Canis lupus familiaris: one gene and its partners. The protein of the gene in region 4 binds, or shares a complex with, the protein of the main gene of each other region. Links are inferred from orthologs where the notes say so. Each region holds a gene or a part of one and is shown on either strand. Other genes may lie near its edges. The genes, in order: POLE, CHRAC1, BAZ1A and POLE3.

What was found.
Region 1: POLE3 (region 4) and POLE share a complex: the UniProt entries of both Homo sapiens proteins name them as parts of the DNA polymerase epsilon complex. The link is inferred for Canis lupus familiaris from reciprocal best matches to the Homo sapiens genes POLE3 and POLE.
Region 2: POLE3 (region 4) and CHRAC1 share a complex: the UniProt entries of both Homo sapiens proteins name them as parts of the CHRAC ISWI chromatin remodeling complex. The link is inferred for Canis lupus familiaris from reciprocal best matches to the Homo sapiens genes POLE3 and CHRAC1.
Region 3: POLE3 (region 4) and BAZ1A share a complex: the UniProt entries of both Homo sapiens proteins name them as parts of the CHRAC ISWI chromatin remodeling complex. The link is inferred for Canis lupus familiaris from reciprocal best matches to the Homo sapiens genes POLE3 and BAZ1A.

Annotation. Positions count from the first base shown.
Region 1 is NC_049247.1:450,145-457,247, forward strand, and holds part of POLE (DNA polymerase epsilon catalytic subunit A), read left to right. Parts: intron 1-846; coding exon 847-988; intron 989-1,358; coding exon 1,359-1,439; intron 1,440-1,841; coding exon 1,842-1,886; intron 1,887-2,036; coding exon 2,037-2,129; intron 2,130-2,402; coding exon 2,403-2,557; intron 2,558-3,504; coding exon 3,505-3,646; intron 3,647-3,776; coding exon 3,777-3,857; intron 3,858-4,586; coding exon 4,587-4,694; intron 4,695-5,213; coding exon 5,214-5,324; intron 5,325-5,566; coding exon 5,567-5,652; intron 5,653-5,965; coding exon 5,966-6,085; intron 6,086-7,103. UniProt on the Homo sapiens protein: Catalytic component of the DNA polymerase epsilon complex. Participates in chromosomal DNA replication.
Region 2 is NC_049234.1:35,772,954-35,780,681, reverse strand, and holds CHRAC1 (chromatin accessibility complex protein 1), read right to left. Parts: upstream 4,782-7,728; 5' UTR 4,699-4,781; coding exon 4,552-4,698; intron 4,248-4,551; exon of another isoform or gene 4,175-4,247; intron 3,214-4,174; coding exon 3,087-3,213; intron 2,943-3,086; coding exon of another isoform or gene 2,878-2,942; exon of another isoform or gene 2,386-2,877; intron 2,380-2,385; coding exon 2,261-2,379; 3' UTR 1,709-2,260; downstream 1-1,708. UniProt on the Homo sapiens protein: Forms a complex with DNA polymerase epsilon subunit POLE3 and binds naked DNA, which is then incorporated into chromatin, aided by the nucleosome remodeling activity of ISWI/SNF2H and ACF1.
Region 3 is NC_049229.1:13,852,077-13,859,800, forward strand, and holds the start of BAZ1A (bromodomain adjacent to zinc finger domain protein 1A), read right to left. Parts: upstream 5,084-7,724; 5' UTR 4,945-5,083; intron 4,495-4,944; exon of another isoform or gene 4,423-4,494; 5' UTR 4,365-4,422; coding exon 4,252-4,364; intron 1-4,251. UniProt on the Homo sapiens protein: Regulatory subunit of the ATP-dependent ACF-1 and ACF-5 ISWI chromatin remodeling complexes, which form ordered nucleosome arrays on chromatin and slide edge- and center-positioned histone octamers away from their original location on the DNA template to facilitate access to DNA during DNA-templated processes such as DNA replication, transcription, and repair.
Region 4 is NC_049232.1:68,165,973-68,173,515, forward strand, and holds POLE3 (DNA polymerase epsilon subunit 3), read right to left. Parts: upstream 4,574-7,543; 5' UTR 4,472-4,573; coding exon 4,406-4,471; intron 4,303-4,405; exon of another isoform or gene 4,286-4,302; coding exon 4,200-4,285; exon of another isoform or gene 4,196-4,199; intron 3,887-4,195; coding exon 3,768-3,886; intron 3,485-3,767; coding exon 3,312-3,484; 3' UTR 1,927-3,311; downstream 1-1,926. UniProt on the Homo sapiens protein: Accessory component of the DNA polymerase epsilon complex. Participates in DNA repair and in chromosomal DNA replication.

The DNA of each region.
Region 1 (7,103 bases), on a different chromosome or scaffold from region 4:
GCATGTGGATGTCCAATTTTCCCAGCACCATTTATTGAAGAGACTGTCTTTCTTCCAATGGATACTCTTTCCTCCTTTATCGAATATTAGTTGGCCATAAAGTTGAGGGTCCACTTCTGGGTTCTGTATTCTGTTCCATTGATCTATGTGTCTGTTTTTGTGCCACACTGTCTTGATGACCACAGCTTTGTAGTACAACCTGAAATCTGGCATTGGGATGCCCCCAGATATGGTTTTCTTTTTTAAAATTCCCCTGGCTATTCGGGGTCTTTTCTGATTACACACAAATCTTAAAATAATTTGTTCTAACTCTCTGAAGAAAGTCCATGGTATTTTGATAGGGATTGCATTAAACATGTAAATTGCCCTGGGTAACATTGACATTTTCACAATATTAATTCTGCCAATCCATGAGCATGGAATATTTTTCCACCAGAGAGAGAATCTTAAGCAGGCTCCATGCCCAGTGTGGAGCCCAGTGTGGGGCTCAGTCTCATGACCCTGAGATCGTGACCTGAGCTGAGTCAGGCACAAGAGTCAGGCACTTAGCCGACTAAGCCCGTGGGGTGCTCCTGTGCATTTTAATATCTTATAAGGCAGCAGTGTCTTGCCATGATGGTTATTTTTATTAGTGTTCTGGTTACAGAGTTGCATAGGTTTTGAGGCTCCTTCCCCAGTCATGGTTCCTGCAACTTCTATTATTTTAATGAACTGTTTGGCCAAGGCTTTTCAGGGAGGCATCTACTATGTGGCATCCAAAATGCTTACACTGGGTGAACTGAGGGTTGCGGGAATAGATAGTGTCATGATCGGTGAAGACAGAATTTCCTTTCTCCTTTCATTCAGGGATGATGGCCTCTCCTCTTCTGTCTCAGCACTTAAGCGCCTGGAGCGCAGTCAGTGGACAGATAAGATGGATTTGCGGTTTGGTTTTGAGAGACTCAAGGAGTCTGGGGAGAAGACGGGCTGGCTTATCAACATGCACCCTGTAAGCACCTGGGCAGTTGCACTCTCCTTGTGGCTTAGGCCTTTGAAGAGTGGGTAGTGCAGCTGGAGATGGGATTGTTTGTAGCTCTCCTCCTTATTTAATGTCACTGGGCTGTATAGAGGTTACTGGGAATATAAAACTGAGGGGTGTCCCTGTTAACCTATAAAAAGTTTTCAAAGATGAGGGAGAGATTGAGAGAAATCCTCATTTGGAAGATGTGGTATGGTTCTTTGTGAGTAGGGTTGGTAGTGTTTATGTGGGGGTGGAGAAGGGTTTTGTTTTTGTGCTCAGTTTCCCAGAGTAGGAGCAAGAGGGTTCTTGTACTGCATAGAGGATAACCTTGTGCCCGTGTTGACTCATTCTCTCACAGACTGAGATTTTAGATGAAGACAAACGCTTAGTCAGCGCAGTAGATTACTACTTTATTCAAGATGATGGGAGCAGATTTAAGGTAAGCTCCTGAACCCCAGGCAGCTAAGACCCACTCAGTGATGAGGTATAGGTGGGGTCCAATATGCCAGGTGTTCATTTATCTGGGAGGAGAGGGGTTGGGAGGCTTCTAGTGTTCAGCTGCTTGAAGCATGTCAGGGACATGGACCCCTTGAAGCTACATGGGTCACTATTTAAGATATCATAACCAGCTTGGAAAGACCGAGATTTTGTTTGTCTCAGACTTTCGCTCCTGCCATATGTGCAGGTCCTAATTCCTGACTGTGTCATCTGGTAAAAGATGTCAAAGTCAAGGACACGTCGGATCTTGGCTGCTTGTGGGTATAACTGCAAATAGCCTGTCTTCACTTTTCTCCCTTTTTTTCTTTCTTATTGCCCCTGAATGGGTTGGTGGCTCTTGCAGGTGGCCTTGCCCTACGAGCCGTATTTCTACATTGCAGCCAGAAAGGTAAGTCTGTCGTCCATAGAATTAAGTCACATGACCTGTGCCTCATTTTATAGGGGGGGCTTCAGAACTGAAAGAGGCCTCTAGAGGAACATACAAGGAAAACAATAGTTTTTACTAATAGGAAGTCTTTTCATTCTGATCTTGATTTAGGGTTGTGAACGAGAAGTTTCATCTTTTCTCTCCAAGAAGTTTCAGGGTAGAATTGCTAAAATAGAGACTGTCCCCAAAGAGGATCTAGACTTGGTGAGTATCACCTGGACCTTCCAGGGTAAATGAGGCTGAGTCTACCCTGCTCCTGGGGTGAGATGGGAAGAAGCCAAGTTGAGCACCTATGCGATGTGACTGTCTATATGTCTTCTTAGAGAATTCTAGTGGTATAGAGTTGGACAAGATGCTTTGGACTTGCCAACTCTTCTACTTGTGTATTTACTTTTGAGTTGTTCTCCCTTTATTTTTTTACCCCAAATAAAGTCCTTTTTCTCTTGAACTCATGAACACAATCTCATCACTTTCTAGCCAAATCACTTGGTGGGTTTGAAGCGAAATTACATTAAGCTGTCCTTCCACACTGTGGAGGATCTTGTTAGAGTGAGGAAGGATGTCTCCCCTGCTGTGAAGAAGAACCGGGAGCAGGGTCATGCTGGTGATGCCTACACAGCTATGCTGTCCAGGTAAGCCTTGTAAGCAGAGCAGCTAGGCAGTCCACAGGACTGTTTTCCCATTTTTCATAGGTTGACAAGATGAATAGGAAGCAGGAATGCTCAGCAATGAAGTTAGCCTTAAGGCTCTGTTCAGTGTGGATACACTTGCAAGCAATTAGGTGGAATTTCTTTTCTTAAAATAAATTAAAATTATTTATGAGAGCAAGGGAGCAATGGGAGAGAAAGAGGGAGAGGAAGAGAGAGAATAATAAGGAGGTTCCACATCTAGCACAGAGCCAGGTAGGGGACTTAATTTCTGCATCTTGAGGTCATGACCTGAGCCAAAATCAAGAGTCAGACGCTTAACCTAGCCACCTAGGTGCTCCAGCCTAGGTAGAGTTTATGTGTTGCATTTGTGTTAAATGATTTCCTGGGTTGTAGTTTTAACTGTGCCTCTTTCCTTACATAGGGGTGGATTTCTGGCTGTGATAGTAAGGACATTTTGGATTCCCAGTGACACTACTTTTTTTTTTTTTCCTTTTTAAGATTTATTTATTTGAGAGAGCGAGCAAGAGCTAGTGTGAGCCTGGGGAGAGGCAGAGGGAGAGAGAGAATCCCAAGCTGACTCACCGCTGAGTAGAGAGCCTGATGTGAGGCCTGATCCCAGGACTCTGGAATTATGACCTGAGCTGAAGGCAGACACTTAATCCACTGAGCCACCTAGGCACCCCAATTTTTAAAAATTTTGACTTACATTTTATAAGACACATGTCCTAAGTGTGCATAGAATTTCCTCTGTATGGCCTGCTGCTTGTGGGAGGATGTCATCCAAGGCCATTCTCTAAGAAGAGCCTCTTTGGTCATCTCTGCCACCTTGATTTACCTTCTGTGTTTATTCCACATAGATTCTGGTCTTCCCTCTTTTTTGACCCCTAGTAGGGTATAGTTGAATAAGCTGGCCTCTCTTTGTTTTGCAGCGTTCTGCAAGGGGGCAGTGTGGTTATTGATGAAGAGGAAGCCTCTAAGAAGGTCACTGACCAGTTGGACAATATTGTGGACATGCGAGAGTATGATGTGCCCTACCACATCCGCCTCTCCATTGACCTGAAGATCCATGTGGTGAGTGGGCCATTACTTTGGGCAGCCGGATGGACAGTCAGGAGGTGACCCTGAAAGGATAAATCTGTAGAGATACACACCTCCCAGGACAGATGCAGAGCTCTTTATTAACGTGCTGCATGTCCTGCAGGCTCATTGGTACAACATCAGATACCGAGGAAGTGCCTTTCCTGTGGAAATCACCCGCCGAGATGACCTTGTTGAACGACCTGTGAGCACTGCTTGCATTTCCTCCATCCTGACTTTTCCACTTATTTCTGGAGAGATCTCATTTGGTGCTGAAGGATGAATTTGATTCAGACTTGTTTTTCTTTTTCCTCAAATACTTTAAAAAGTTGCAGAAAAATATTTTTTTTGGGGGGTGGTCAGTTTCTGACCGAGTATAATTTCATTCTGTGCTTACGTATCACCATATGATGTCTGTGTTTGAACTGGGCTGGATCTGAACATTTGAGGGAAAGCTCTGACTTCCATTTTGAGTGGTTGATGGTGAAGTGTTGTGGTGAAAAGTGAATTTATAATTGGCAGACCTTGATTCAGGATGGCTTTATGTTCTTGGGCAAGTCTGTACTCTGTTTTCTCATTTCCAGAATGAGAAAGCATTTCTACCACCATCTCCTATCTGGATTATCATAAAGGGGTCATGCATTTGCATGCACATCGAGACTCAAGTGTTCTGTAATTCTAGGATTTTCCTATCATGCTCCAACCTCTCATATATGTTTAAGTCTTCATAACCATCAGTGAATCATAGAATTCTTGATATAGGTCAGTCAACCCCCAAATGCCTGTCTCACTTCTTTTGGAACCTCTCCCTGTGGCAGCTCAACTCTTGCTTTTAGCAGCTGGAGGTGGAGGGGTGGGTGTTGAGATGACCATTGGGGTCTCTGGAGCTCGAATTGGTTTATGTCCAGCTTAACAAGACATCTCATCCCTGCAGGACCCTGTGGTTTTGGCATTTGACATTGAGACAACCAAACTGCCTCTCAAGTTTCCTGATGCTGAGACTGACCAGATTATGATGATTTCCTACATGATTGATGGTCAGGTAAGTGGTATCTTTTGGGATTTAAGCTTCCTAGGAGCAGGAACCTTGTCTGGTCCCTAAACCAGAGCAGTATCCACACTGTGGTTAATATATTTTGGGTGAAGGCAGCCTGGGTGGCTTAGCGGTTTAGTGCCACCTTCAGCCCAGGTTGTGATCCTGGAGACCTGGGATGGAGTCTCACGTCTGGCTCCCTGCATGGAGCCGGCTTCTCCCTCTGCCTGCCTCTCTCTCGTGTGTTCTCTCTCTCTTTCTCTCTCTCTCTTATAAATAAATAAATAAAATAAAAAAATACGTGTGTGTGTGTATGGTGAAAAATTAGTGAGTTGAGTTCAAGAAAGTGAACAAACAAGCCATACTCCTTCCTTCCAATACAAATTTGAGACACTTGGTGCTCTTCTTGGGAGAACTGGGGGCCTTCCCATTGCTGCAGATTCCTATGGTAGGGTCTTCTGCACCAAAAGTATAGTGTTTTGGCTTTGTGTGTCCTAACTCGCGCTGACTGGCGCACGCACTTTCTAGGGCTACCTCATCACCAACAGGGAGATCGTTTCAGAAGATGTCGAAGATTTCGAGTTCACCCCCAAGCCAGAGTATGAAGGACCTTTTTGTGTCTTTAATGAACCTGACGAGGTAAAGAGGTATTCCTTGGGAGACTGCCTAGTATTTGGGGTGAAATGGGAGGAAGAGGCACAACCCAGCAGTGTGCTGGACTGGATATTGAGTGGTGTGGTCCTCATTCACATTGGTGGCACAGGGTGAGTGTGAAAATAGTGACACGAGGTCCCTGCTTTTCCTAAACTTGGGGAGGGGTGCTTGGAAATAGCTCAAAGAGAAACAGAAATTCTCTGACAGCTAAGAATCATTGAATTCAGGTTCATCTAATCCAGAGATGGTTTGAACATGTCCAGGAGATGAAACCCACCATCATGGTCACCTACAATGGGGACTTTTTTGACTGGTAAGTCTGATGTCTTCTTTGTGAGTAACTAAAATGCGTTTGGGAGGGGATGTTGCACAGTGGTGTGAATATACCGCTTACTGCTGCCGAACTGTACACTTACTTACAAGTGGTTGAGATGGAAGGAAAGTGTTTGGGAGAGAAGGGAGGGATAGGAGGAATGCCACTTGGTGGCCGAAGAGGCTCCTTGTATTTTGAGGAGAAGTGTGGGGCTTCCTGGCTTTGCTTAGGGGTGTGCTAGGCGCAATCTTCTTGTCTCTGAGGGACTGAAGGATAACTGCCCATGTGCTTGTCGGTCTTCCCTTATCCTTAGGCCGTTTGTGGAGGCCAGAGCAGCAGTCCACGGACTAAGCATGTACCAGGAGATCGGGTTCCAGAAGGACAGTCAGGGAGAGTACAAGGCATCCCAGTGCATCCACATGGACTGTCTCAGGTAGGCCCGGCAGCTCATCGCACTATCTTAGGAGGGCCTTCTGTGACTGGAATCCAAAGCTCCTTTCTTGCACTACTGGTCCTGTTCACCTCCCTTTGAGGAAGGGGCCTTCTGAGAAGCAGCAGCCATCACCTTTGAGGACAGTGGCTGGGGCTCTGGCTAGGTCCAGGAATGTGCTGTCTTCATCATGTGCTCTTATTCCTTCTGCCAGTAAACATGTTAGCATTGGACCTGCTAGGGAAGCCAGAACAGAAAGATGGCCAAGTAGAGTAAGGTCTTGATGCTGTGAAAGCCCCCCACAAAGGTGGGGGTGCAGCAGCCAAGGATGTCCACACTGGAGATAGGCATTTGACGGGGCTCAGGGTGTTGAGAGGAAGGCTGAAGGGAAAGGAGGTTTTGTGGGCCCCTGTCCCCTGTGGGGAGGTGAATTTTGGGGAGCCATTGACACACTTAAAGTTTTATCTCTTTCCTCTGTAGCCTTGGCATTACCGTGCATGGGTTGGAAGGGGCAGGCCAAATCATAATTAGGATGGGAGTGAAGAGGGATGGACTTGGGGCCGGGGGCCTGTGGTCCTGTGGTTTGCGGTGGGCTTCTGGGCAAGGAGCACGTAGGTTCTAGGTGTAAGCAGGCCTGGGAACCCCATTCCCATGGGGCATGGTGATCAGCGGTCTCTGAGGAAAGGACGTAAAAGGATGGTTGGGGGCTCTCAGAGGAGGTGGCAATACTGGGAGGCCCCAGGGGGCATTTCTGAAGACAAGGATGGCAAGAGTGTGGAGGCCGAGGGAGGTGAGACTCGATGCAGTCAAGAGACAGCTGTGAGTGCTAGAGACCTAGCTGTGTCAGTCATGGGCTGAGCCATGGGGAGGATGTGGAAATGGGCACAGGGTGAGGGGTGTAGGGTGGCTTCCTGTTTCCATGCTGAAGGGGTTGTGTGAGGAGAGAACAGGAGTTTAAAACTAGGGCCTGGGGGCGGGGAAGAGCACAGCAGACTAGCAGCACCCACAGGAGAACCCGGAG
Region 2 (7,728 bases), on a different chromosome or scaffold from region 4:
CCTCTTCTATTCTGGCCTGCAACAACACGCATCTCCTGTTACACATAACCAAACAAGGCTGTATGCCCTGGCTCTGTACTAGTGTTCCATCCATGTGACATGGGAAAGGCAGGTCAGCAAACCATGGTCTGCGAGCCAGAGCCAGCCCACTGTGTTTCTGTGTGGCCTATACACTAAGAATGGTTTTTATGTTATTTCTTTTAAAAAAAAAAAAGATTTTATTTATTTGTTCATAGAGACACAGAGAGAGAATGAGAGGCAGAGACACAGGCAGAGGGAGAAGCAGGCTCCATGCAGAGAGCCTGACGTGGGACTCGATCCAGGGTCTCCAAGATCACGCCCCGGGCTGCAGGCGGCACTAAACTGCTGCGCCACCAAGGCTGCCCATGTTCTTATTTCAAAAGAATAATTCATGACCCATAAAAATTACACAATTCAAACATCAGTATCCAGAAATGAAACCTCACCAAAATACAGCCATACTCATTCCTTTCTGTATCGTCTACGGCAGCTTTTCTATTATGATGGCACAGGTCAACAGCTGTGACAGGTTATTATCCCCCCAAATCTTAAAATGTTTTCTCTATGACCCTTTCCAGAAAAAGTTTGTGAACTTTCACATGGGTAAAGAATAGCTCAGTGGTTGCCAAGGTAAAGGGTTTGAAATGACTTTGACCAAGAGGGAATTTGGGGGGTGATACAACTGTTGAATCTTGTGGTTGTGGAACTGGTTTTGTCAAAGCTCAAAACTGTATATTGAAGTGAAGATTTTCTTAAAAAATTAAAAATTTTAAAACGAGAGGAACAAAGTATCAGTGGTTACCTGCAGATAAAGGAAGGGACTGCAGGGGTACAGGGGAAAATTTGGGGTGATGGGGAACTGTCCCATATATTGATATTTACATAAAAGATTGGCTATTAAAGGATGATTTATTGGATGTAAAATTAATTCAACTTTTTTAAGATTTTATTTAATTATTCATGAGAGAGACATACAGAGAGAGAAGCAGTGACACAGGCCGAGGAAGAAGCAGGCTCCACGCAGGGAGCCCAAAGTGGGACTTGATCTCCGGTCTCCAGGATCACACCCTGGGCCAAAGGCGACACTAAACCGCTGAGCCACCCAGGCTGCCCTAATTCAACTTTTTAAAAAAAGAGAGAGAGACTAAAAAAACAGCCAAAAATTTACCCTATGTGGGGGAAAAAAAAATAGGGCTTGTAGTTTTCTCTGTGAAGAATAAAAACAATTTGAGTATAAAGAAAGGAACAGTAAAATAAGACATTTTCTTTTAAGTTTTATTTATTTACTTGAGAAGGAGCAGAGGCAGAGGGAAAAGCAGATCCCTGCTGAGCAGGGAGCCCAATGTGGGACTTGATCCCAGGACCCTGAAATCATAACCTGAGCCAAAGGCAGATGCTCAACTGACTGAGCCACCCAGGCGCCCTGAGAGATTTTCAATATACAACATGTTTTAAAATGTTTTTTAAGAAAAAATAAAAATAAAAAAATAAAATGTTTTTAAGAGAAATATGTTTATACAGAGATTATATTTCTTTTCGTATTTGATTTAATTGAGTTTTTTTTCTTCCGAGAATGAAAGTATTAGAAACGCTTATTTTTAAATTTTGCAGACTTCTCAGATAATATGCAAGACATTAGAATAGAGAGCTCCAAAACTAGTTCCACAAAGCATTGACTAAAACTATGTACAGCTTCTAATAAAGAAATTTTATTTCTTTACAGTTAATAAAATTGTAGTATTTGAACAAATCATTAAATTTTCAAATGTAACATACTACCCATATACTATGTATTTAGCTCAAACTACATCTAGTTGTTTACAAGAACTAATTTCCAGATATACATCTATGAATTTATACAACTGGTATTTAGAAGCTCTTCAAAATCTATCATCTGTAAATTAAAAAGTGAAGCAAAATTGTCTGCCTCCACAGCTTTCAGCTGCAGCAGATCAACTGGCAGTGCCTGACCATACAGGCAGCTTTCTTGGTGCCTCTGTGCCCCCGAACTGCAGTGCGGGCCCCTCAGAGAGGCTGCTGTCTGGGTCACTTTTCTTCTGGCCATTTGTGATGTGGGCACAACAGGTGCTCTATCTTAGCCAGGAAGAAATCCAATGTACTTGAAGTCTCTGAGAAGTGAGGAGTCTAAAGTCACACAGCGCTGTGCTTACTTCCAAGCAATGCTGCTAATCCAGGAGGGTCCTCAGCAGGGTGATTTCTAAAGCACTTCCTGTTTGGTCTAGGATTCTGCTTCGTCCCCGTCACTCCCATCATCGCTGTCATTCTCCTCGTCCTCGTCCCTCTTCTCTTTAAGCATTTTCAGATATTTACTAGCTAAAATCTTCTTTGGTAATATATCTTAAAAATATAAAGCTAACATCAGCAATTGGTTTTGGCAGACCACGAACACAGCAATGCAAATTTCAAAATGTGCTAGTTTCTGCTTTGAACTCTAGAACAGTTTCCAAAACAAGACAAAATTCCGACCATGCTTCTGGGTGAAATAGCAGGAAACAAGTATTGCCTCCTGACTCCTGCCAAAGACCTGTTTCCACTCCACGGACTGCAAATTATGTGCTCCTGTATGTGCTGGTGATGAGCAAGTCTGCCCACCTACCTGAGACATGCCGACTGGCCTCGGAGGCAGATGGAAGCTCTTTACAGCTGTGGCCCCCACAGCCTGTCCACAACTATTACTTTCTCTGCTCTTAGGGCCACGTAGACCAGCCCAGAGTTTTCCCTTCAGTGATAAGGAGTCTGAGGGGTGGGTCAGCCAGGCTCCCCCAGCCACCCAGCCACCCAGCCAAACATCCCTGTGCAGGTTGCTGACTTCGTTACCATTCTAGGTGAACCACATTACAAACATACTCTGACAAAACTACAAATGTCTTCCTGTGCCAGGTCATGGTAAACTTTGGCACCTGGAGAAAGCAGCAAAAAAAAAAAAAAAAAAAAAAAAAAAAATTGTCTATTTCAGTGAAAACAGGAGAAAAAATAGAAGGAAAGAAAAAAAAGGTGTAAATTACTATGTATGTTTTAACCAGAATGTCTCAAAGACTGAGTACCTGCAAGAAACTGAAAAGTTTCCGATTCCTCTGCAGTGTTTGATAAATCACTGTAGGTGAGAGCTTTCCTTTCTTTTCCGCTGCCATGTCTGTAGGAATAGGTGGCTAGATACTGAACAAAGAGTTCCTAAAACAAAACGAAAAAGTAAAATGAAAGGTATGCTCTAAAAACCTACCGCAGAACTTAATTTTTTAAATTACATTAAGGCTTAGGTGACCAGACTGCAGATTATCTTGGGTTCTCCAGTTACAGGAAGCCCGCGGGGGTCAAAGCCGGTGGGGAAGCAGGCATTGCCCTAAAGCCATTTTAGATTCCTAATGCAGGCAAAACGCTGACCAGGCATTCAGCCGTGGGTTGGAAGTGTGCAAGGACTGCAGCTCGGTCCACTCCCAACTTGCCTCCTTGACCCAGCGCAGTCGGCCTTCTCCTCGAGCACCGCGTCTCAGCCGGTTCCCTACAACGTTTCCCCATTTGCCCAAACACCTTCCCTAAAGCAACCGCCTGAGCGGAGCCTGGAGCCTCGAGGTCACCGCTCCTCACTCTAACGCCCTCCGGGCCCGGGAGGGAGGGGTCCTAGCGCCCGCCCGCGCCCCGCGCCCCGCGCCCTCACCCTCGCAGGCGGGACGTGCCGGGCGGGGACACCGAGCACCCCGAGGCCAAGGCTGCTGGGGACGCTCTCCCTCCGGGGCTCTCAACCCAAGGAGGCGTGAAGGCGCGGGTGATGTCCGGGTGACGCAGGCGCCCGGGGGCTCTGGGCCTCTAGGGCTCACTCAACTCTACCCTTTAACGGGAAACAGAAGGAAGATCCCCGGGACCCCGGGAGCACGGAGCCCCCCGGCCCCCAGCGGCGGAGGCCCGAGCCCAGGGACACCGCGCGCGGGCAGAACCGCAGCCGACACAGGGCCCGGGGCGCTAAGATGCAGGCAGGTGCACCTGGGCGCGCGCAGGTACCACGGGCGCTGATGAGGCGCGGGAGGCCCCGCCCCCTCCCCCGAGCCGCCGGAACCCGAAACCCAAGGCACAGGCCGCACGCGGGGGACGGGAAGGCGCGGGGGCCCGCGCGGGGGACGGCGGGAACGGCGCGGCGGGCGGGCCGGAGGGCGCGCAAGGGAGGACGGGAGCTGCGCGGGCCGGGCGCGGCGCCGCAGACGGAGGAGCGGGTAGGCGATAGGCGCGCGAGGGCGGACGGGAGCGGGGGGCGGGGCGGAGGGCGCGCGGGGGAGGGCGGGAGCGGCGCGCGGTGGGCGGGGCGGAGGGCGCGCGGGGGAGGGCGGGAGCTGCGCGGGGCAGCGAGGCAAGCCGAGTGGGTGGGCGGAAGGCGCGCCGAGGAGGAGGAGGAGGAGGGGGACGGCGGGCGGGGCGGAGGGCGCGCGCCCCGCGGCCGGGGTGGGGGGGGTCGGGAGGGGGGCGCGACGGTTCCGGGCGGCCCCCCGCCCCTCCGTCCTCCCGCGCGGCCCGCCTCACCGTGGCCTTGGCCGTGAGCACCAGCGCCTCCTGGTTGATGCTGGACACCTCGGGCGAGCTCTTCATGATGACCCGGATGCGGGACAGGGGCAGTGACACGAGCCGCGGCTCCCCGCACTTGTCTCTGCCAGCGACCGCGTCCGCCATCTTCGCGCCCCGCCCCGCGGCGGCCGCCGAACCCGCCGCGAGGCAGGCGGCCTGCCGGCCTGGAGGGTGCGGGAGCGGCGTCCCGCTGCCCCGTGGGAGTTGTAGTGTCGGGGAGGCGCGGCCGCGGGGGCGGGCGCCTGCCCTTCCGGGGCCGGACTACAAATCCCGAGATGCCGCGCGCCGGGGGGCGGGGGCGGGGCTTCCCGCCGGGGGCCGGCCTGCCTGCGCGGTGCGGGACCCGGGGGCTCGGCGGCGATCGCGCAGCGGGGTCCGCGGAGATACCGGGCGGGGGGCCCCGAGAAGGCGCTGCCTCGCGGCGGGGTCCACGCCGGCGCAGGCCCAGGGCTGGAGCCGCTCCGGGAGCCCGGTGTGCTGCAGCAGGACTGCGAGGGAGCCTCGGCTCTGCTGGCTCTTGTTCTAAGTGGGAAGCGGCCGAAGGGATCTGTCGGGCGAGTTCCGGGATCCCTCTGGCTGCCGTGAGCGGCGCGGGGCGGAGCGGGGAGGGTGCGAGCGGGGGGCAGAGTAGAAGGCGGAGGCCGCGGACAAGCTGCGGTGTGCCCGGGGCGGCCGAGCATCCTCAGCTCAGGTCTTGAGCTCGGGGCGGGGAGTTCAAGTCCTGCGTGAATCACGCCGTACTTGGGCGGGGGGCGGGGAGGAGATGCCGGCGTGGCTAAGGGGCGGTGAGCTGGGAGAACGGAGTCGGAGGCAGCCAGGGCTTTGTGGATCTCGGAGTTCTTCCCAGTGAGCCCAGAAGCCCTGGGGAGAGGAAGGAGGCGCGGGGGGGGGGGGGGGGCAAGAAGGGAAGCAGCGCGGCGAGGAGGCTGTTGCCAGGCCCCAGTGAGGCGCTGGGAAGGACTCGGGTTAGAGACCTCCGGGGTTCGGGCAGGACTCGGGTTAGACACCTCCGGGGTTCGGGGAGGTCTCGGGTTAGAGACCTCCGGGGCGTGGGGAGGATTCGTGTTACAGACCTCCGGGGTTCAGGGAGGTCTCGGGTTAGAGACCTCTGGGGTTCAGGCAGGACTCGGGTTAGAGACCTCGGGGTTCAGGCAAGGACTCGGGTTAGAGACCTCCGAGGTGTGGGGAGGATTCACGCTAGAAACCTCCAAGGTTCGGGCAGGACTCGGGTTAGAGACCTCCGAGGTTAGAGCCACCACGACCTGCCGGTGGGATGGGAATGAGGGGCGGGATGGCGGTGCCACGTGCCAAGATGGGGAGCACTGCCCCAGGAGCAGCTTTGGGGAGAGGTCTGGTTTGGAGGACGTTAAGCTTTAATTGCCAAACACTAGTGGTGGTGCTGAGCGGAAAATTGGACATGAGACCCTGGAATTTGAGCTGGAGTCCGAATTTTTTGTTTTGTTTTGTTTTTAATTTTTTGAACCGGAATTTAGGAACCAACATTTGTTGCGCCCAAGATTGCAAATCTGAGAAACCACCAAGGAGCCAACACCGATGCAAACACACGAGGGTTTATTAGCAAGCTCAAGCTTGGGTCCAAGTATACCCAACACAGCGGAGCAGGGACTTGGACCCCAAGATGTGTTACAGCTGGGTTTTTATGGACTGCTCTAGGGGTAAGGTGGGGTTTTTCAGTAAGGGGGGGTATGTGTGAGAATCTCCAGTAAAGAGGTCTCACAAGCTCTTGCTTCCTTATTCCGAATAAGGCCGTGCTTTGTGTTTTTTACTGTAGCTGGGGTAAGGTGGATTCAGGACCTGGTCACAGTGGCCTGGTCACAGTGGCCGGAGATGGCTACCGAAGCTACAATGGCTGTACTTGGGCCAATGTTAAACTTGAATGGCCCTAATTCTCTCAGCCTGCACACATTGTCTAGGTAGTTAAAACGGTGACCTTGAATGAATGCATTCAGGAGAAGAGTGTAGATGGAGTGAAACAGTCCCACCGCAGCATTTCAAAGTGGCAGAGAGAAGGAAAATCCAGCAAAGGAGGAAGGCCGGGAGGAACTGACCATTGAATAAAAGGAAAACCAAGAGTTTGGGTGTCCATGAAGCCGGTCAAAAGCTCTTCTGACGGACACCTCGGTGGCTCAGCAGGGAAGCCCATCTGTCTTCGGCTCAGGGCATGACCCGAGGGTCCTGGGATCAAGTCCTGAATCGGGCTCCCTGCATGGAGCCTGCTTCTCCCTCTGCCTGTGTGTCTGCCTCTCTCTGTGTCTCTCATGAATAAATAAATAAATCTTAAAAAAAAAAAAAAAAAAAAAAAGGCTCTTCTGAAAGGAGAAGCTGCTCCACTGGATGGAGCTGAGACGTAGAGTGGGAGGACTGTCCTGCCACTCAGCAGTGTGACCCCAGGCAGAGCAAGTGCTGAACCCGTTTCCTCATTTACAGAGATGGGAGTACTCCGATGTTGGGGTTAGGAGGTGTGAAAGCGCCTAGCATATAAAGATCGAAGTCCCCGCCCTGTCAGTGACCCTCTGCCCGCCACTACCTCCCTCCTAGTCAGTGGTAAGCAGCAAAGGGGATGGGAATGAGAAAGCTCTTTGTGAACTGTAAAGCACCCTCCAAAAGTAAATTACCCCGTAAGGTTTCAGTGTTCATGTGGCAAGTTCTTTTCACCCCCTGATCAAATCAACTTGGATTTCAAAGTTCATGGAAAAAGGTGCCTGGCCAGCCTAGGCATAGACCATGTGACCCTTCATCTTGGGGTTGTGAGCTCAAGCCTCACGTTGGGCGTGTTGCCCTACTTAAAAAAAAAAAAAAATTAGGGCAACCTGGGTGGCTCAGCAGTTTAGTGCCACCTTCGGCCCAGGGCGTGATCCTGGAGACCTGGGATTGAGTCCCAGGTCCCCGTCGGGCTCCCAGCATGGAGCCTGCTTCTCCCTCTGCCTGTGTCTCTGCTGCGCTCTCTCTCTCCTTCCCTCCCTCCCTCCCTCCGTCTGTCTCTCATGAATAAGTAAATAAAATCTTTAAAAATTCATTAAAAAAAAGACTGGGAAATACAAAGTATTGTGTAAGCTTTCTGATTTTTTTTTAAGATTTTATTTATTTATTCATGAGTGACCCGCAGAGGAAGAA
Region 3 (7,724 bases), on a different chromosome or scaffold from region 4:
ACTCCCCCTGCTTGTGCTATCTTATCTCTCTCTTTCTGGTTCAAATAAATAAAAGCTCAAAAAAATATATCATTGACTATAGAGCTTAGGTCTTTTTGCGTGAGCTTAGGTTTTTTTTTTTTTAATGTATTTTTTCTAGATTCACATATAAGAGAGATCATTGGTATTTTTCCTTTCTCTGTCTGACTTCACTTAGCATAATGCCTTCAAGGTCAATCCATATTGTCCCAAATGGCAAGATGTCATTCTCTTTATGGCTGAGTAATATTTCTTTGAAACATAGACAACAATTTCTTTTTCCATTCATCCACTGATAAACAGGTTGTCTCCATATCTTAGCTATTGTAAATAATGCTGCAATGAACACGGGAATGAGTATATATTTTCAAATTAATAGTTTTTAAAATTTGGATAAACACCCAGAAACAGAGTTGTTGGATCCTTTGGTAGTTCTATTTATTTTAAGTTTTTTGAGGCACTTCTATACTGTCTCCCAGAGTGGCTGCACCAATTTACATTTCCACCAACAGTGCAGAAGAGTTCACTTTTCTCTACATCCCAGCCAGCAACTGTTATGCTACTCTTTTTGATAGTAGCCATTCTAACAGATGTGAGGTGGGATCTCAATGGGGTTCTGATTTGCATTTCTCTCGTGATTCAGGATGTATAGTCTCTTTTCATGTACCTGTTCGCCACCTATAGGTCTCCTTTAGAAAAATATCTATTCAGATCTTCTGCCCATGTTTTTAGTTAGATGGGTTGTTTTTGCTATTGAGTTGTAGGAGTTCTTTATAATTTGAATATTAGCCCCTACTGGATATATAATTTCCAAATATTTTCTCCCAGTCAGTAAGACACCTTTTAATTTTGATGTTTCCCTTTGCTCTGAAGAAGCTATTTATTTATTTATTTATTTATTTATTATTATTTTTTTTTATGATAGTCACAGAGAGAGAGAGAGAGAGAGAGGCAGAGACACAGGCAGAGGGAGAAGCAGGCTCCATGCACTGGGAGCCCGACGTGGGATTCAATCCTGGATCTCCAGGATCGCGCCCTGGGCCAAAGGCAGGCACCAAACCGCTGCGCCACCCAGGGATCCCTGAGGAAGCTTTTTAATTTGATGGTCCCACTTGTTTCAATTTGCTTTCATTGCTCTTGCTTTTGGTGTCAGATTAAAAAATCATCACCAAGAACGGTGTCAAGGAGCTTACTGCTTAGGAGTTTTATAGTTTTAGGTCTTATGTTCAAGTCTTTTAACTTATTTTGAGTTTTGTGTTACTTTTGTGTATAACACAAAAACAGTGGTCCAGTTTCATTCTTCTGTACTTTAGCTTATGCATTTACCTACAGTTAATGTGCTATTTTTAATGAGTCTTCTTTACTTATGGAAAGCAGGTCAAACATGAGTTAGTAATTAAAGAACATGTAGTTCAAACAAACAGAAAAAGGAGTTTGTACTGTATAACCACTAAGGATCTATCCTGGTCACAGTCCCTTTCTCAAAAAATTCAGGGTCTAGGAAAAGAGAAAAATTGAGGCAATAATGTATTGCATTACTATGTAGTAATAGCTGATCTTACACTAGATAAAATGGAGGGATGATCATTGCTGCCTAGGACAAAGGAGAAAGCGCTAGGCTATTACACCAAGTAGGATAAAGACAAAAAACTATTTAACAATTAAAAGGTCACTGGCAAACTTCTACTAACCAGAGTCAGAAGAAAAAGTTATACTTTGCATTGTATTGCAAAGGGAACAAGGTAGGGAGGTGTAGAAAATCCCTTTGAGATTGATTAAGGTAGAAAGGTTCTATTCAGAAATCAAAAACCTGAGCAAATAGATGAGCACAGTGGTCTTCACCCCAATACAAAAAACAAATATTCATATAATGCCCTTAAAGGATAATCTTCAAACAAATTCACATAAACCAACTGGTGAGCTAATGAATAAAAACAGAGATTTCCTTCTCCAGACTTGTGCCAAGGGTCAGATTACCATAATACCAAGGATCACCATACCATAAACCATGAATACAATTTTGATCTCTCTGTAATCATCTAAGAGGGAAAAAGTAAACCAAAATTTAACACAATTAAATGTCAGTCTTCTTCCCTTTTTGCCAATTTAAAGTCACAAAAATTAACACCTAAGAACACTAGTAGCTCTCCTTTGTTCTTTGCTCCTAAACCAACTGCCTCTCCTGAACTGCTTGTAAATTCCAAAAACCCAAATACTTCATCACAGGGAAAACAACAAAACCCAAAAAAACAGCTATTTAAAAAAGAACTTTGTTAATGCTATAAAACTACAAAGGACACAGTTTCTTAATTAGTAGAAGGTGGAATATCTAAAATCTCTTCCTTTATTTCGGCATTTCAGATACCTCCATGATTATAGTAAATCAAGAACCAAAGTATACAAAAAGTTTAATTCAAAAGGGATACAGCCATATTCATGCGCCCTTCTAAAGTGGGAAAAGTCTCTTAAAAAGGTAAGATTGCTTATGCCAAAGGGGAAGTTTGAAACTTAACCCCGTTTTCTATTTTCTTGGCACTCTTAAATACCATTTTTTTTTAAATTGGGAATTATTACCAAGGATTTTAACTTAAACTTAAAAAAAAAAAAAAAGGCATCATCCTTGTCAAGTTACCTAATCCAAATTCACTTAAGTTACAAGAGTGAACTCTATTTGAGTAACAAAACAAGTCTGTACAGGAGTAGATTTAAGACGTGCACTCCTATTTTAAAAGTACAGTCGGCTGAAAAACTTCTCCCGATATAACATGTTTATGTGTAACTCTTTCTGTGGAGCTGAAGAAAAAGAAGCCTTACTTTTAAAAGCTCAAAGGAACTGATTTTTCTAACTTCGCTGCTCGTTTCTCAGACAGGTGCGGACTTTGCTGAAAGCCCTCCCTCGAGTAAGCCCCCACTCAGAATAAGGTGCCTCCCACACACAAGTTATTTGGTTGCTATAACATTTGGTTTCTAAGCCACAAAGGGACCCCCCTTCTGAGCGGAGAGGGAGGATAACGCACGAGAAAAAGGGAGGATCAGGCTGTTTCATTGATCGACCAATTTAGGTTCTCACTTGGAGATCCTGTTTAAACACACATCTCTAAAGCACCCCAGTGTTCGGTGTCACAGGACAAGTGGATCTCTTGGGATAAACCAGGCGAGGTACTGAAAATTTAGGAGTGAAAACTACACACGCAGCAGCTCCGGATTCTTATCAAAACAATAGCGAGTGGCACATGTCAGGCAGCCCACATGCGCAGGGGGATAAAAAGAGGAGACTGGCTGAGGCTGGAGTTGAACTTGTCTTAACCCCCTCCCCCTACGCCCACCGCCGCCCTTGGGGCTACGCCAAAGTGATAACTAAGTGCGCCCAGTGCCCGGCTTTTTCCCCCTCCCTTCCGCCCCCCCTCCCCGCCCGAACCCGACTTCTTCCTCACCAAGGTCTCCCGGAGGCGGAGACGCTGAGTTCTCCGGGGCCGGGAGTTAGTCACCCAGAAGAGGTGGTGACAGAGCACTAGGCTTGCGTCGCACACTCCGAGGCCTAGCCGCACCGGACGAGAGGCCGCCGGTGATGGCTCGCGAGTCCCGGACCCCGCTGCCCCCCGGCCCGCCGGGGGCTGGGGGTGGGGGCTCCTTCCCCAAGTCTCAACTCGGCCCCCTCCCCTCCCCTCCTCCCTCCCCTCCCCTCCCCTCCCCTCCCCTCCCCGCGCTAAGGCAGCCCCAACGTCAGGCTCCACTCTCGACCGAGGAAGCAAGCGCGGCCCGGCCGTTTCCTGCCCCCGGGGGTGGGGATTCCCTCTCCGGGCCGGGGGACGGCGGCCCCGTGCCGCTGACCCGAGCGGGGATCCCCTCGGCCGCCGGGCGGGGATCCCGGAACTGGCCCCGGAGTGCGCGTGTGGCCGAGGCGGGGAGGGGCGAGGCGGGGAGTTTCCGCTGCTCGGCTCCCGGGCGGCAGCGGCTGCTAGAAGCGGTCCCCACGGCCGGCCGAGGACCCCAGCTTCCGCGGCCCCGGCCCGCTCTCCCCACGCGCGCCTCAGCCGGTCGCGCCGCCCGGGGACCCCGCGCAGTCCCCGGGTCGGGCTCGGGGGGCCGGGAAACGCGGGCCCGCGGCCAGCCGTCACTTGCGAGTCGCCCCGCCAGAAGCCCAAGGCGAGGAAAAGAAGAGAGAGACAAAAGGACGCCGGGGAGGGAGTCCCCACACTCCCTCGCACCCCCCGCGCGCGGCCCGGCCCTTACTCGTAGTGGCGGAAGATCTCGTTGGTGACTTTACAGTAGAAAACTTCCTCGTCCGGCCGCAGGTCCGCGGGCGGCTTCTGTCTCACAAACGGCTTTCGGTGTAGCAGCGGCATCTCCCGTCCGCCCGCGGGCTCACCCGGACCCTCGGCCGCCCGCGTCGGCCCCGCTTCCCTATCAGAATTGGAGGGAAAGGAAAGCCGGTAAGGTGGGGAGCGCTCGGCCGCGGCGTGGGCCAGTCCGCGCGCCGGGGGAAGCTCGGCTGCCTTTTGTGTGACTGACGCGCCGCGGCTGCCACCGGAGCCGAGGTCGCTCCTGCCGCTCCTGGGGTATTGAGCGCGCAGAGCCGCCGCCTCTGCCCTCCCAGCGCGCCCCACCTCCGCACGCCCGGCGGCCGGCTCACAATGGGGCCGCACGCCCCGCCGCGGGCGGGCGGGCGGGCGGGCGGTGCGGGAACGGCGGCGGCCCCCTCCCCCAGCGCCGGCTCCCAGCCCGCCGCCGCCGCCGCCGCCGCCGCCGCCGCCGCCGCCGCCGCCGCCTCGGGCTCGCAACGTGCTTGGCGCGCAGCCGGCCGGCCCGACGCCGCGAGGAGCTCGCTGCGGGCGGACCCCGGCGCCGCTCCGCTTTGTTCCCCCGCTCGCCTACACTTCCCTGTCGGCGCCGGCCGGCTCCCGACGACCACACGGAGCCCCTCACCTGCGAGCACGCCGACTGCCACTTCTCCACCTTTTCCACTACAAAGGCGGCGAGGGGAGCCTGTGTCCTGCCGGGGGGTCGCTTCTCGCCGGCCCCGCCGCGCCGCCCGCCGCCGCTTCTCCCGCTGCCACGGCCTGGCTCCGCGCGGGGGATCGCGTCCCACCGCCACTTCCCCGCCTCTCGGAGCTCCTGGGAAGTTTCTGATCTACTTTCGGCTCAGAAGGAGGAAGAGCTGTTGGGAGGAGCTTTTCACTTCTCGCTTCTACCTTTTTATTGGCTACTCGATGACTTTTACAGCCTGTCACTGATACAGGAAGAGACGGCGGAGAGCCTGGGAGAGCTACATTATTAATTAATGGAGCAACCCCTTGTGTAGAATCAGAAGCATCCTCCATGTTTGAGATTATCAGCCGAGAGATCTAGGGAAGGCGCTGGGCTTGCATAAACACATGGCTAACAAAGTAAAGCCTTCATCTTCAAGTCTGGCACCATCGCTTGGCTTCACGGTGGGGGAAGGAGCCCAGTTAAGATTTAACTTTTATTTTAAAGATGGGAAGAGAAGTGAGGAATAAAAAATAGAAAGTATTTTGATATTTTCCTCAGAAAGAATTTGCATGTCTAAAAACATATTTTGCTTGTGTAAACATCCTTCTTGAAAAGAAAATACCTTTCTTGACAGCAGTTCTCGTTAATATTTAAAGAGGGCAACTCAGCCAAAGACTTGGCAGAGGAAAAGACCAAAAAAGTCTTTTTTAGAAAATGTCATCATGCCTGTAGGACTCCCACATATTTGAAACTAAAAACTAAATACACCTTTAAAAAGTAGTATTTGTGATACGCCAATGAAAACATTTTGCAAAGTATCAACATTCGATTCAATCACACAGAATTTTAAAGGTTGTGGATTTACTAGTGAAATTTCCCCTAAGCAACTTTCCCATATCCACAATTTCCATTTGTGAAACTAATTTTAATTCACATAATAAATGTGACTTTTGAATTAAAAGGAATTTTTCAAACTACAAGTGATTCCAAATGTTTGCCAGCTTTGTGTAAAATGGTCTTTTTTGCTACTGCCCTTGACGTTTGCTTATTTGTGGATTAACATGTAAGAATGAATCTGTAAGACAGTGAGTTTGAAGAACGGCCATTCAACAAAGGACACAACTACCAATACCGTGAAATGGTTATAGTTATAATGTGGGATCATCTTTTTATCTTGAAATTAAGGACATTTGTACATAGGAAAAAAATGTGAGGAATCTGTTCAAATTGCAAGAGTTATAATTTTTTAACTTCTTTCAACGTACTTTTATGGCAGCTAGCAAAATGAATTTTTGTGGAAGACAATATGTTTTGAGTGTTTTAAAAGTCATTAATAAAATTGATGCACTTTACTGTCTGAATATAGAAGTCACAGAGGCTTGGAAATGTTCTCAGAACCAACTATATTCTTTAGTCTGGATAAACTCTTCAAAAAAAATTATGCAGTCATTTAAAGTGGCCTTGTACTTGAGTGACAATTTAAAATTCCCTACCTAGAAAGTATTTAATTTTCCAGGTGAAAAATTTAGAACCTACAAATATAATCTCAAAGGGGGAACATGGAGGATGGATAAATTTACAAGTGCTAATGAAGCATCACTCTCACAATCCAAAATCCCAGCTTATCCGTTAAGCTAAAAACAGGAAATTTTCCCTGAATATATCATATTTGTATTTCTTAGAGCTCACTAAGTTTTTATTTAAATTCCAGTTAACATACAGTGTAATACTAGTTTCAGGTGTACAATATGTGTGAATCACTATTCAACACTTCGATACGTCATCCCTCAGGGCCTTAGAGCTCACTATTTGATGAGGTTAAAATTTTGTTAAAATCATGATCAAAAATGGTGATTTTATTTTTATTAGATACAGATTTTTAGATAATTGGATTCTTTTTAGTACTAACTTAAAATTGAAATTTTATTCTACATTATCAGAATACTATTTCCCTACTACCATATGCTGATACCAATACTACGATACTAACATTACTCAATTCTCTGAGTTACATACATAGCATTTATTTTAATGATTTGTGATATTTAATAATGTTATACAGTTGTTCATTGTTAATTCACAATAATATATATTTAGTAAATTATAATTAACATATTAATTTAGTTTTGATGTGTTTATACTACTTGATCAAATTGATAGACTAAGTTACCTCAAAATAATACTACTTTTGTTTATTTCGTTAAAGGTTTTATTTATTTATTCATGAGAGACAGAGAGAGAGGCCAAAGGAGAAGTAGGCTCCCTGTGGAACAGGAACTTGGATGAGGGACTGGATCCCAGGACCCCAGGATCACTACCTGAGCCAAAGGCTGACACTTAATGGAATAAGCCACCCAGGCAGACCTAAATCATACTTCTTTTAAAGTTATCCTACACATTTATTACTGAAAGTTACCTAAGATGTTTATTTCATATTTTGCTATCACGATTAACTCTTTATTACTACTTCTAGGCTTTTGAGAATGAAAAGCTCATCGCTATTTCAGGAAGTAGTTAAGGATACTGTCATGAAATAAGACCATGTGTGAAAAAATTGAAAGTATTGTAAACTATGAAAATTAAAGTATCACATAAAAAATGAAATTAAAATCTTTTAATTTTTTAACAATTTAATTAAACATTTATCAGGCTTTTCTTATGTGCTAAGACACTACTAGCTCATGGAATACACTATAAATGTATCCTGGCCTTAAAAATTGTACAATCTGGGGTGC
Region 4 (7,543 bases):
ATAGAAACAAAGTCACACACAGGGCCGCTAGAATAGGATCCTAGCTTTCATAAATAAATTGGTGGTAAGATCTTGAGCAAGTCACTTCTCTCTGATGAGCCTCAATTTCTCATTGGCAAAAATCGGATTAGGTTGCAAAAGTAATTTCTTATTTTTTTAAAGATTTTATTTATTTATTCATGAGACACACACAGAGACGCAGAGACACAGGCAGAGGAAGAAGCAGGCTCCATGCAGGGAGCCTGATGTGGGAGTTGATCCTGGATCTCCAGGATCATACTCTGGGCTGAAGGTGGCGCTAAACAGCTGAGCCACTGGAGCCGCCCTAAAAGTAAATTTTTAAAAAAGATTTATTTGAGAGAGAAAGAGCACGCACACACAAGTGGGGGAAAGGGCAGAGATGCAGACTCCCCATGGAGTTGGGGAACCCCATGCAGGGCTGGATCCCAGGACCCTGGGATCATAAAGTGAACCTGAAGTTGGATGCTTAACTGGGCCACATGGGGGCCCCAGTAATTAAAAAAAAAAAAAAAATCTCTATACTCGATATAGGGTTCAAATTTATAGCCCTGACATTGAGTTGCACACTTTGCTGACTGAGCCCCTCAGATACCCCTGAAAATGTAATTTTGCACTGGTAAAAATGGTAACCTTTCCACCCTCCAAATCTAGATCAGAATCTGTAGGCATGAAGGGTTGTGGCTTACAAAAGATGAGATTTTTGCCTTACCTTAGTTAAGCAACCTTCAAAATTCAGATACCACCACAGGAATGTTAAAGGTGTGCTTGGAAAAAACTAGTTGATAACCTCAGATTTTTCCTTTTTTTTTTTTAAAAAGTAATTTCTAGGGATGCCTGGGTGATTCAGTGGTTGGGCATCCGCCTTCAGCTCAGGTCATGATCCCAGAATCCAGGATTGAGTCCCGCATCACGCTCCTTGCGGGAAGCCTGCTTCTCCCTGTCTGTGTCTCTGTCTCTCATGAATAAATAAAATTTTTAAAAAATTTCTACACCCAGTGCAGGGCTCAAACTTACTACCCTGAGGTCAAGACTCAGGCTCTACCAGCTGAGCAACCCAGACACCTCTTAAATTCTGTGGTTTTAAGTCAGAATTCCCATTCCCAGGAAATATGCTTTTTTTCTTAGGTAGTCAAAGTTCGGGAAGACCTAAAGCCATGTGGAGAGTTCTTCTGGGGGATGCATTAACTGGAGACTTACAAGGTGGTAGAGACAGATTGGAATAGATGGTGAGGCAAGCCCTCAAGCAGGTTTTGTGTACCAGGTTTAAGTATGGATTAAATGGAAGCAGTGAGGGCCTGGAACATAGCAATGTTCCAGGATGATCCACTTGGCAAGCAGTACTTGGGGGAAGTTGGGGGGCAGCAGACAGGTGGCAGGACACAGTTCAAAGAAGCCACAGGAGTCCAGAAGGGACTTGAGAACTTAGCTGAGTGATGCTCATGGGAATTAGGAAAGGATGTTTCTGCTGTGGACAGGGAAAAAGCCACCAGATCTAATGACTCCTGGGTTTGCAAGTTTAAGGAATGTTATTTATAAACTCGTGACTTGAAAGTTATGTAGATTAGAGGTAATAAAGCATTGTGGTTGACATCATGAAGGTAAAAGTTCTCCTTTATAGGATTTCAGAGTTCATACTTGAAAGCATGTAGGACAGTACCAAACACACAATAGGGACTCGATAAATATGGAGTCATTAAGCAACTAGTAACCATAGGGTGCCCAGCAGAGCCATAGAAAAGCTCTTGTCGTGGTCGAAGAGCAGCATCTGCTGGTCATCCAAGGCAATGCAGGATCCCAGATTTACAAAGACCTGGCCCAGTCTACCTTCCAAAAACCATATAGGGATGATCAGTGAGGGTCCTCCCCCAAAGTATAGTATAAACAAGCAAGATGAAACAGGAGTCATCACTGTTAACAAGAATGTTCTTTATTTGTACAAAGCATTATAATTTTCCTCAACATTCTTCATTTATTTGTCAACAAACTCTTGACTATATTCATTAAACAAATTAACAGTGTCAAACTACATACATTTGACTATCTGTCAACCTCCAAGCGCTCAACTTAGAGACAAACAAAAAAGTGCTTGGAGCACCAAATATCAAGAGAAAAAAACAACAACAACAAAAAAACAACTCTGAGAAAGGTCGACAGAATTACTTTAGAAGCAGTTAAAGGGGATGGATTTTTTTGCAGTAGGGATTAGATTCCTGAGCACCATCAGATTTCTGCACTTTGGGACATTAAGCAGGTTATCAAAGATCCTGGGTTGGGAGATGTGACAAAAGGAGGAAGAAAGTGGGAATGGGGAACAGAGGAGAGGCAGAAGGGAGACAGGGAAGGGAGACGCAAGAGGGAGAAAGTTGTGCCTAAAAGAAATAAAGTTTGGAATTCGTCATGAATTAAAGAATGAAAAACAAAAGTCACAAGCCTGGGAAATGGACTATGAGAAGAAAAAGCCTGGGGTTTTATACCTTCCAGGAGGTGACCATAAATCCTAAAGCCATAGAGTGGCAGGCAATGAGGTGCATCTGAGACTAAACCGTCTGGTTTTTTTTGGAGGGGGGGGTAAGATATTGGCACACGTGCTTGACGAGTTCCACTTTACACTAATGATTTAGAAGCATATGCACCCAGAGGACAGCACCCCAGCAGGTCAAATGCCTACCAGGCAACATAGAGGAGCTCCACGCCAAGTGGGTCTGGAGAAATAAAAATTCAATCAATGTTAACGCCAAGTGAAAAGACAACAGATTTCATTTCCCCCCCATAACCTTTTAGTAGTTTCCTAAAGCTAAACCATCCCAACCACTTATAACAAGCTAGTACTGCCAAATCCTATACAATCAAAACAGACCAACCATGCTCAAAAGCCCCAATTTTTCCTGAGCTTTGACTGCCTCTGTGACCTGGAACACAGCAGGCAGCATGGAAATCATTATTACTTTTTTTTTTTGGGGGTGGTGGTGGTGGTGGTGATGGATGGGGACCAAAAAACTGCCAGACCACATATATAAGTAATAAGAGATCAAATCGACTAATTAAATTTAGCCGCTCAGAATCCCTCTCGTCAAAAAGTCATTACCTTCAGAACTGACTTAGCAAAATGGGACTCTGCTATTCAGATGCTCTGACGGAAGCGCTGGTTTTGGTCATTTTAGTCAGTTTTTATTTTGATCTTCTCAGGCTCTTCTGGCGAGGCCCACTCTCCCCAGCAGGGAAAGAGCCTCTCAGGACCGCACCACGTTTCAGGGCGGTACCTGCCAAGGTGCCAACGTCTTCCCGTCCCACTAGTTGTCTACTTCCTCCTCTTCGTTCTGTTCTTCTTCTTCCAGCCTTTCTTCGTCTTCATCGTTGTCCTCATCTCTGCCCTTGTCTTGCTCCTCTGCATCGGTTTTTTTGTCTTTGTCCTTCTTCTTCTGCTCGGAAGCTTCCTTCTTGCCTTTCTGCTCTCTCCTGTACGCTGTGAGGAGGAAGGCGGTTAGCAGGCAGGGCTGGACCAAACCCACCGCAAGCAGCCAACTCCGCTGCACAACCGGAGAAGCTGGGGCCGGGAAGGAACAGTGAATCTGCTCGGCATCACAAATCAGATCAGATTCGGCGCCCATCGAACGGATTCCGAGTCGCAACCAGATACTCGGTTCCTGTTCCTACGCAGACCCCAGCTGCGAAGGCTCAGCGCGGCCAGGTGAGCCGGTCACACGGGACGGACATCTCCTCGGCCGCACAGAGCAGAGGGACGTTACCTTCCAGAGCTTCTTTCAGGGGGGTGACGAACCGCTGGAACTCCATCTCCTCCATGGCTGAGAGCACGTCACTGGCGTTCAACGTCTTGCGTTTTCCCTTCATCGCGAAGTTGTTGGCACTGAAACAAAAGGGAGATTCGGGCGTGAAACGGGGCAGGGCAAAGCCTAGGTCAGGGATGCTCGGATGCGTCCCTCCCCTTCCCTGCACAAAAGGGTCGTTTTATTTTGCTTCAGACCTCGCGAGCCCTGGACGAGGGCGCGACCTCCGCCGCACCGCGGGAGGGCCCACCTGTTGGGGGTTCGCGACTCCAGGGTGCGGAGTGGGGACCGGACGGGGGGGGGGGGGGGTCTGTGCGGCTCCCTCCCTCCCTCCCTCCCGCCCCAGCCCCAGCCCCAGAGGAGCTCTCGCCGGCTCCGCCCGGCCCGGCTCACCAGGAAGTGGCGTACAGCACGAAGACGCTAGCGGCGCGGGAGATGGCGCTGCGGGCCTCCTTGGAGATGTTGACACCGTCCGGGAGCTGCGAGAAGAGCGCGGGTGAGTAACGCTGCGGCCCGGGACCCGGGACCCGGACCCCGGACCCGCTCCCCCGCTGCCGGCTCGTCCGCCCCGCGCCCACCCGCCAGCCGGGGCTGCCCACCGCTTCCTTGATGATCCTGGTGATGACAGCATTGGGCAGGTTTAGGTCCTCGGGCCTCTCCGCCATGGCCGCCGGCGCCGCGGCCCGCCTCCGCCTCGAGCCTCTCCTCCAGGCCGCTCCGGCGTCCGGACTTCCCGCGTCGCCGCGCGCTGACCCAAGGAGGCTTCCGTCCCGCCCCCCGGGGCCCACGCTGCGTCCCACAGTGCCCCGCGCGCCATTGCCTCCCTCAGCACCCGGCCCCGCCCCCGCCTCGAGTCGCCCGAGCGTCCGAACTCTGCACGCCGCTACGGCGTTGGCCTTCCCGGGTTCTCGTCCGGCCTCCCCCCGGGGACCCAGCGGCCCCTTCCCAGGCTCGTGCCCCTGCTGCTGGCCGCCGCCACGTCTAGAGACTCCTCCTTCAGCTCAAGTATGGCTCACCGGAGCTTCCGTCCCTTCCCCACAGTGCTCTGCGCCGTTGCCTGGCAACGGCGGGCGTGGGCGACGGAGGCGTGGGCGGGGCTCCTTCCGACGCGGGGCGGGGCCTCGCCGCGTCTCGGCGTCGGCGCGGGCGTCGGGCTTTGCGGCCGGATTCGGCTTCCCGGCCGCCCGAGGCCCGCTGTCCCGCTCTGCGGTACCGGAGCGAAGCGGGTATCTTTAAAAAAAAAAAAAAAATTTTTTTTTTTTTTTTTTTTTTTTTCAGTTCTGCGGGACCTGATGTCCGTCTTGGAGCTCTTCACCCCTCCCAGCTTTGCCATAAGCGCAGTACGGAGAACCGTCGCCTGGAAGTGCTGCACGCAAACTCCTTTGCGGGCGCAGCGCTAAGGCTGGGGACGTAGACGCGGGCGGGGCTCGCCTCGGGCCTGGGTTCGGGCCGCCCAGGAGGAGAGCGCGGCCTTGCGTTCACTCAGAGCCAAACCCTCAGCCTTCTGTGTGTCTTTTACTTCGTTGACTTGTGCATAATACGTCTTTCCCAGTCGCAAGCATCATTAGCATGGTGTTGCACTGGCTTTTAGGTTGCATCATTGCATAGAAATTATTCTCATTCTCCCTGAGCTCGAATGCTTTTTTTTTCCCCCGTAAAATGTGCTGTCTTATGTCACCCTTAATTTACCTTTTTTTTTTAAAAATATATTTTTAAATTTATTCATGAGAAACAGAGAGAGAGAGAGACAGGCAGAGACACATGCCGAGGGAGAAGCAGGCTCCCTGCAGGGAGCACGATGCAGGACTCGATCCAGGGTCTCCAGAATCACGCCCTGGGCCCAAGGCAGGCTAAACCGCTGAGCCACCTGGGCTGTCTTTAATTTACTTATTTTTGAGTAATTTCTTTCTTTCTTTCTTCCTTTCTTTCTTTCTTTCTTTCTTTCTTTCTTTCTTTCTTTCTTTCTTTCTTTCTTCTTTCCTTTTCTTCTTTCTTTTCTTTTCTTTTTTTTTTTTTTTAAGATTTTACTTGTTTATTCATGAGAGACACAGAGAGGCAGAGACATAAAGGGAGAAACAGGCTCCCTGTAAGAGGCTGGTGCTGTGGGACTCCATCCCAGGCCCCGGGGGATCACCATCTGAGCCAAAGGCTGATGCTCAACCACTGAGCCCCCTCAGGCATCCCTATTTTGAGTAATTTCTACCGGGAACGTCAGGCTGGAGCTCATGACCACAGAGTCATGATCAAGAGTCACATGCTCTACCTCCTGAGCCAACTGGGTGGGCATCCCAGTTTTCCAGCTTTTGACAGAGACATAAGTACAGAGAAATACTTCCCTATTAGGAGAAAAACACCAGCAAACGTGATGATAAAGAGCAACTGGAACTGGATTAGTTAGAGATTATAGGGTTTGGTGGGGGAAACTCCATTTGGATGTAACAGGTCTGGTTTAAAGATACCAGGAGGCTCTCAGCTCCAATTGCTGTATAGTTGGAACTGTGAGCCGTGATGTCATATATTTTGATCTTTAAGAGGAACCAGAAATCTGAACACCGTGGACTATCTCCACTTAAAAAAAAAAAAAAGATTCAAAGTGCAGGCCAAGCAAAACAAGTCATAGGGCAGCTGTGATGCCATGCCAATGCTGCGCTCTCTTTGGTCTAATTTATAAGCTCTTGAGAACAAGGACTTATTTTGTTCATTACTGTTCTCTATGCCTGTTACAGGTCCCATCACATATATGGTAGTCAGTAAATGTGTTGGATAAAAGGAAGAAGAAATGGATACTGTCCGTAAAAAGTTATTAGGAACAAAAAAGTTATTAGGGATCAGGTGGTAGTGATCGCCTAAAATATTTCTAGAGAGAGAAAGATGATACTGTTTGTTGATCCTATATTATATATCATACGTAAAAATATATTATTTCTCTTAATGCTTTAGGGATTTTTCTTCCCCTCTTTATATGAGGAAACAAGCTGAGAGAGTTGAAGTCACTTGCCTACGACCATACAGCCAGTAAATGGAAAGCCAGAGGCCTCTGATGTGACTGTGAGTCTGCTGATTTGGTGCTTGAGCAAACCCATTGGTTTCTGCTGGGTATTTTTTTTTTAAGATTTTATTTATTTATTCATGAGAATAGACAGAGAGGAGAGAGAGAGAGGCAGAGACACAGGCAGAGGGAGAAGCAGGCTCCATGCAGGGAGCCCGACGTGGGATTCGATCCCAGGTCTCCAGGATCAGGTCCTGGGCTGTAGGTGGCACTAAACCGCTGAGCCACCAGGGCTGCCCTCTGCTGGGTATTTTAGCTGCCTGTATGAAAAAGGAGCATATTGGGCAGCCCCGGTGGTACAGCGGTTTAGCGCCGCCTGCAGCCCAGGGTGTGATCCTGGAGAACCGGGATCGAGTCCCACGTCGGGCTCACTGCATGGAGCCTGCTTCTCTCACTGCCTGTGTCTGCTTCTCTTTCGGTCTCTCTGAATAAATAAATAAATAAATCTTTAAAAAAAAAAAAGAAAAAGGAGCATATTGAAAAATGAAGCATGTTTTCCAAAGGTTATGAGCCCATCTAAAGCCATCTCAAGCATTTCTGTGATTATATTCTGATTTGATAGGACTTTTTGGAGATGGGTGGTGTCTTCTCCCCAATGGCTAATGAAGGGGAAAAGGGAAGGATGCCAATACTTATTTTGAATTATGTGCCAGACCCTGTAATATCCATTAACTAATTTTTGTAATGA